Tribolium castaneum: one gene and its partner. The protein of the gene in region 1 purifies or fractionates together with the protein of each later gene. This does not show direct contact. Links are inferred from orthologs where the notes say so. Each region holds a gene or a part of one and is shown on either strand. Other genes may lie near its edges.

Region 1 (4,388 bases):
TAAAAAAAATACTTTAAAAAAGAATTTAACAAATTAGACATCAAATTATTCCAAGTGTTAAGTATTAAATTTCTGAATCTGAAACATCAAAATCTGTTTTTGAATCAGACTCACTTAGAGAAATAATAAATGGAGAAATATTTGCAATGTGTTTTGTCCAATCTGAAGCAATTAATTATTCCCAGTGTTTACAGAAATTTTGCCACATTTCGGGTGTACATTTTATGAGTGATTCCGACCATAGATTTGCAACTTTATTTCTGTCCAAAGGTTGCTCATTTGTATGTTTATTATAATAGTTCTTAGAAAACCCCTATGCCAATGAATTGCGTTATACTAGCGATGATATGGGGGTAATCAAAGAACTTCATGTCCATGGTCATTTAAAACTTTATCTATTACGTACTGTTTTTAATTATTTGCTTTTAAAGGTTTTATTAAATCCTACAACTGATTTTTAGTGAAGTATTAAATCAAATTCTATATGATGATTAATCAACCATACCTACATTTTACCCTTGGTAGAAGACGACGTGGGCATTTTTTCCAATTGCATCGAGTGACACGGAGCACTATCCATTATCACAACAGATTTAAATGGTAGTTTTGCTAAAGCAGGAATTAATTGGTTAATCACCCATGTTTGAAATATTTCTCCATTCATAGTTTTGTGATAGCCTCTGTCATTATTCGCCACATCCATTAAAAGGTCACATCCTTCCAAAAAAGCAAACCGACATCCCGCATATAATATAGTGAACCTTTTGTCTTCACTTTTAATTTTTGAAGGATTGCTTTTTAGGTCTTCTTCGTGAACCCACCGTCGAACATTGCTGCCATTTTGATAAATCCACCTTTCATCCAAATATACAAAAATAAAATTTTTAGTGTTTTAGAGTTTTGGTACTGAAGAAATTTTCGTAAAAAAACAATTTTTGATATCAGAACATGTTTTTGTTCACAAAGATTTTTCTTCTATTAACTAAACGAAATCTGTAACTCATATTTTTTAAAATTCTGTATGAAGTTGTTCGCCCTCCTTCAAACTCCAAATTTTCTTTTGATTCTGTTAGTAATGTGTCTAAAGTAAAATATTGATTTTTTTAATTATATTTCGAAGTAGGTATATTTAATTTCAGTTCATAGTAGAATTGCATTTTTCAACAGCGGATGTGAGTATTTTGGAGTAAAAATTAAGCCCAAATTGAGTTTCTGTATAAGAAAAGAATTCACACTTTGAGCTAAGAAAACCCACCAGAAACTCTCATGTTAAAAAATGCATATGCGCTGTTAAAAAATTCTACTATGAACTGAAATGGGATATACTACTATGGAGAAGTATCTGCTAATAACAGGAAGTGCCTACTTTTAACTATAGTCTTTTGTTCCCGAAAGTAAAGTATTTACTTAAAAAAGTAGCATTTACTTCACCCATGTCTTTACTCCACTGGACTGTAGTATTAGCATCTACTTCATTTTTATTTATACCACCCAATGATTTGTTTGGCATTCTGAAGTCCAGAGCAATGTCATACGTGTAGTTTTCACAAAATTTCAAAAAAAAAGATCCTTAATGAAAACCACATTAAACTTGAATAATTGTTGGTATTTTCATGGAGTTTAGAGAAAAGATAAGACAGCTTAACTGTTTATTTACAAAGTTAAAGTTACGTCTCGGAAACGCCTTCAGACCTTGGCTACATAATACTACGAAAATACCAACAATGATAAAAAAGGAGAATAATTTTTTTTTATAATTGAACTTGAATGTTTTTCGCAGAAAAATGATGAATGAAACGATTTGTCTTGAACGGTAAACTAAAAGGTTTTTTTTGCATAAAAACAGTAATTCCACTTTACATTCACATTATAAACAAGTGTTCAAAATTAGTTAATGTTTGAAAAACTTTATTAATCCGGCGTTACTCAGGTGAGTTTTTAGGACACCAATACTAAGGTGGGGTGTGACACACACATCAAAGAATGTGTTTGTTATTCTGAAACTATACCAAAGCATTTTACACTCGATTTTACATAAAGTCCAATATTTCAAAAAAGTCAAATCTTTACCTAGTTTTATAGAGCAAAATTTTTGGTAAAAAGTAGTAACGTAAGTAAGTGGGGTGTAACAAACCCCAGAGCCATAAAATCGGCTACAACACACATATTATAACAGCCAGGTGAAAATTATATTATATTATATGAAAATCATATATTACATCATATTCGAAATGTTTTTGCAATCTACTGAAAGGTGCATACATATAACATTCCTATCTAAAAAACCAAAGCATTTTTTTACTCTGGGGTCTGTCACACCCCAACTGAGTAACGCCGGGTTAAAGAACAAATATTCTTCAGTGTGACCAACCTAATAAAAGAACCATAGGTCTACTTTAACCTGATCAACTCGATTAATATATTTTTATGTTCCTTACCTTTCCCCTCTCGAAAATCGTTGACTTTGTGCTGATAATACGCATGGTAGGGGTCACCAGGATTCAGGAAATTAAATTTCGGATTCCCTAATTCGTTCTGTCTGATCCTGGCCTCAAATTCTGGCCCGTTTCTGGCCACAAAACTGGCTGTTTTATCGACGATATCTTAGCAAATTGTCAGGAAAAATACAATCTAACCTGAATTTTCCGACAAATCTGAAATTTTCACAAAGGATACTTCTCACCTCTGGTGGTGGATAAATAATACCCACCACTGGATTTATCGGTCCGGGATCGTCCGGATTTGGATTATTTGCTTCCAAAACCGGCATTTTCACTATTTTTTCTTACAATAAGCTAAATAAACACGCTAACAAACGCTTGCTCAACGTAAAATGAAGAGAGAGATGGCAATAAAAAATAAAATTGATGAATACTCCAAACCACTAGAGGCGCCACAAGCGGTCTTTACAGAATTCTATACCAACATTTTACGCGTGTAAACTGTTTTTATATTTTTTACTTTTGTAGTTATTTCTTATATTTTTTACAAATATTATGTATTATTATTATGTATTATAATATTATGTATTACGTTAATATCTATATTACAACTAACGCTTGTGGTTGCGGATCAAAAAGAACGATTAATGAAACCTAATTTATAGATTTGAAACAGCTTATATCTCATTTCAACTCATAGTAGAATTTTGCATTTGCATTTTTTGGAGTGAAGTAGAGCTCAAATTGAAAGTTTCTGGGTTCTTGGCTCAAAATTTGTTACTGAGATTTAGCTTAACATATATTTTTTTCTTATAAAGAAACTTTCAATATGTGCTTTATTTCACTCCAAAAAATCCAAATGCGCTGTTGCAGAATTCTGCGATAAACTGAAATAAAATATATTAGCTGTTTCAAAACTAAAAAAACGCTAACGTCGCATTTTTTTTTGAATTAGGTGTTATAAATTATTCATGTAGTTCAAAAAAATAATAGATAATGTAATTTATACTTGGGAAAGCTAATCAATAATAATTATTTTACATTTTTATTAATCTTATTTAAAAAAATTATTTAGTAAAATGCGACGTTGGTGTTTTTATAGTTTTAAAACAGCTAATAATTTATATTCAACATAGTATTTAACATTTTAGCGAACCTTGAAAAAACGTTGTACCTATAACTTCTGATAGTTTTCAGCTTCAACAGATCAATATTTAGTTCAATAAATTAAAAAACATAATAAAAGTAAAAAAATATAAAAATTTATGTTTAAACATTTGAGCTAAATTACTCTACACCGTTAGAGGACGCTTCAAAACAGACAGATAATTGACAGAAGAATTTGACAGTACGTTTGTGGTTTATGCTGCCCTCTTTTACCAACGCTTCCAAGTTGGGAGTTGTGCGTTGGTAAGGTTGATAACCTGTGGTTTGTTATTGTTTATATGCGGGAAAATTTCATTTTTAATCGAATTTTTCCAATGGGTGAGTTAATTATTTGATTTTTGATTATTTTGTGTTGGATTAGTGTGAGTTTGTGTTATAAGATTGATACCGGAAGGCCGCTTTCCTTCCGTTTTGTTTGAAACTGCGACGGAAATTTCCACAGTCGCATCGGCCTGGTTTATTTCCTAGTGGGCTAGAAATTGTTTTTTGATAATTTGAAGGGGTTGAAATGAAGGGGGACATTCTAAATTAAAAAAATGCGGCATTAGTTACTTGCTAGATTTTTATTTATTTAAAACAATTTATTTTAAGAGTCGCCGATTTTATTTATTATTATATTTTTTTTTAATTATAGAAAGATACAATTTACAAAACTGTTTTTTTTAATAACTTTTGCGTCGTGACCCATTTAAAAACCAATACTCTAGTCGTCGATGAAGGGAGCACGCAGAAGCATCATGTGGGGTGGTGTCCTACTCGCCCATATTTGACCCATTTTTG
Region 2 (3,122 bases), on another chromosome or scaffold:
TTTCTGGGCGAACAAAGCGTTGGAAAAACTTCGATTATAACGAAATTCATGTACGACAGCTTCGACACCGCTTATCAGGCAACAGTCGGTATCGATTTTCTATCAAAAACAATGTATTTAACCGACAAAACCGTGCGTTTACAACTGTGGGACACAGCCGGTCAGGAGCGCTTCCGCTCTTTAATCCCTGCCTACATAAGAGACTCTTCAGTGGCTGTGGTGGTCTTTGATGTGACCAACATTGAAACCTTCCACCAAACCACAAAATGGATTAATGACGTGCGAATGGAACGCGGAGACTCCGTTATTGTGTTTCTGGTCGGCAACAAAGTCGACTTGAAGGACTTGAGACAAGTCAGTATAGAAGAGGGCGAACAAAAAGCGAAAGAATTGAACGTCACGTTCGTAGAGACGAGCGCCAAAGTTGGTTTGAACATTAAACAGCTATTTAAGCGAATTACTGAAAGTTTGGTGGTTTGTGAGGAACCAAAGAGTGATAATAGCAGTGAACTACAGGAAGTTAGTTTGGGGAAAAATGGCTTGGTTACGATTGACAACAGTTGCGCCTGTTAATTAAGAACAACTCGTTTTGTGAAACATTTATTTACAATAATTAATTGATACAATCTTATTTATTTAATTAAAAAAATAGTAACATAAAGAAAATTAAACCCCTTTCCTCCACTTTTCCGCTGTGGTAAACTCAGTCATCGGCTTGCCACTTATCCCACAAGTGCCAATCCCCACGCGTCCGTTCACCGAATCAGGCGACGCGAAAATACTCTTATTAGTGAGTCCGCTTTTTTTGTTTTTCACGGCTTTATTCGTAAAAGCCAGCCACTTGTTTTTCTCAACTTCTCTCTCTTCCTCCAATTCTTTGAATCTCTGCTGTTTCTTCAGCTTCTTCTTTTTGAGATATTCGCGGTTATTCATCATTTTGATGCGTTTCAAGCGTTCAGCTTCAGTCAGAACTCGTTTCGCTCCTGTGAATTCTTTAATTTCCGCTAAGGTAGAAACCCCCCGATTTTTATAAGCTTCAAATGTCACATTTACCTGTCCGTCCGGATGGATAGCATCGATACGGGCTTCGTAATATTGGCCGTTATCGTTCCATTTCGCGAGACAGGTGTCGCCAATCCGCCAGATTTTCTTTGATTTGTTACGAGCAACGAACTGCTCAACGGCCAGGAGCGACTTGGTTATCTCGTCTTCTTCAGGCACCCCAATCGGTTCGGTGTACTCGGGCTGATTTGCCGCCTCATCTGCCTTATTCTTCAAATCAAGGGACAATTCAATTACTTCCTCCAAGTCCACTTTGAGCTTTTGCAGCTCTTTGTTGTCGGGGTCGCTCAGAAGCGCGGCTTCGACTTGTTGTAATTGCAGGCGGTAGTTTTGCAACTCGTCCATCGTTCAGGTTGCAAAAAACGTACAAACTTACCAAAAAACTCGCCGTTATTTAATAAAATTATTGACAAGTTCAATACGTCAATAAATCGGCGGCCATTTGCAATCTTTCACGGTTTGTAGGGATTTTGACGTTACCAAGGCGTCACAAAAACCATCTTATAAAATAAAAACTTATCGTGATTATCACAAATACGCCCTAATTCACGTTTTTGAGTCGCTTGATTGTGTTTCGTATTTTTTCTATGTGTAAAAAGGCCGTTTTGGCGAGAAACGTGTTTGTTTGGCGGCGCTGCTGTCGCAGAAAAATCACCAAAGCGTCAAACAAGCCCCCTTGGTATTTTTTGATTGTTTGACGTTTTTGGGGGGGTTGTAGCGTCCCCCCAAAGTCAGGTGTACAAATGTGTGCTAAACAATTAAATTAAGTGATCGTTACCACGTTAAACTTTCGTAATGGCAAGTGTTATTTCCCTCTCGAGTGCATCGTTGAACGCTTCCCCCAAAAACACCGATTCTCCTGTGACTGTTCTAACCCTAAGTTCGGAAATACACCGAGTTCCCGTGAGTTGGGACGGCCACAAAGGTGCCAAAAGGACGTCCAAGGTCTTGGACTCTGATAACACCCCCAATCATTACGAAAAAGTCAAAGAATGGATAGATACGACCAAGTACGATGATCTGGGGCCCCCTAATGAGAATAAAAGCGTTTGTATCCGCTATGATTTCGATAAAAGCGAGAAAATCACAATAAATGTGCCGAAATCATGTTTTACGCGAGTCACTCCCTTGTTTTCTTATATGGAACAGGCCAAAAAAGCGGCTCTGAGTGACGAGAAAAAAAGCCAGGAATGTACAGCAAAAGTCAATGGAAATTTAAACTTTGAAACTCCCCTAAGCCCAGAAAGCCAGAAAAAGGAACTTTGCAGTTACTTACAGCTAATGAAACCTGGCGAAAAGAAACAGAAGAAACTGTTATTCGGAAACAGACGATCGAAGCGAGTCAAGAATTTAGTCCAAAACCACCAAAAAACGTGTTCAGAAAACGACATAAACACCTTCCCCACCCTCAAATCATTCGAAGATTTGAACATTTTTGAGTCGAAGAAGAAAAAAGAAACGCCCAATAAATATTTACCATTGCCCCCAAAGTCAAAATTTAGCGAATTTGTTGATTTTGAGGACTCGGTTCGTAAGATTGTCGAAAGTGTCAAGTTGAGGAGTAAAGTGACAAAGCGCCGAAAATTTAATTGGGGGCTCAAATCGCATCAGTTTAATTTCAAACGAATTAATTCACTACGTAGCAAAGGTCGGCTCAGGTTCATTTCTTTGGATCGGCTCATTTTGCGTAAAAGTCGGAAACGGCGGAAAAAATTTCTCAAGAAAGATTCACCACAAAAAAATGCATGTCCCCACTGTGATTCGGTGGAGAAACAACAACGTTGCGAAATCGTCTCGGTTCATACGAATTCGGATGATGAAAATATCGATTTGAAAAATTTCGTTGACGATATGTTAGAGTTGGATAAAATGAGTGAAGAGCACAGGAAAAGTGTGATCGAGACACGAATCTTGGCTTCCAGTTCGATTACCAACCTTATAAACAAACAAATGGCACAAGAAGCCGATGTCCAGAAGGCCTACAAAATTTTTGCCGACTTGTCCGAAAAGAAAACCACAGAAGAGAAGGAAAATAAAGATCTAGTCACTGATTTTGTTCT

Evidence for each region.
Region 2: the proteins of Sf3a1 (region 1) and Spf30 purify together in Homo sapiens (affinity purification with mass spectrometry; 3 studies listed by BioGRID and IntAct, with this or other methods). This does not show direct contact. The link is inferred for Tribolium castaneum from reciprocal best matches to the Homo sapiens genes SF3A1 and SMNDC1.

What each region holds. Positions count from the first base shown.
Region 1 is NC_087397.1:12,582,842-12,587,229, forward strand, and holds the start of Sf3a1 (splicing factor 3A subunit 1), read right to left. Parts: upstream 2,846-4,388; 5' UTR 2,771-2,845; coding exon 2,677-2,770; intron 2,604-2,676; coding exon 2,439-2,603; intron 1-2,438. Other genes in the region: peroxidase, read left to right, coding at 3,887-3,926. UniProt on the Homo sapiens protein: Component of the 17S U2 SnRNP complex of the spliceosome, a large ribonucleoprotein complex that removes introns from transcribed pre-mRNAs.
Region 2 is NC_087399.1:319,623-322,744, reverse strand, and holds Spf30 (survival of motor neuron-related-splicing factor 30), read right to left. Parts: upstream 1,552-3,122; 5' UTR 1,408-1,551; coding exon 667-1,407; 3' UTR 588-666; downstream 1-587. Other genes in the region: ras-related protein Rab6, read left to right, coding at 1-573; uncharacterized protein LOC103314146, read left to right, coding at 1,858-3,122. UniProt on the Homo sapiens protein: Involved in spliceosome assembly.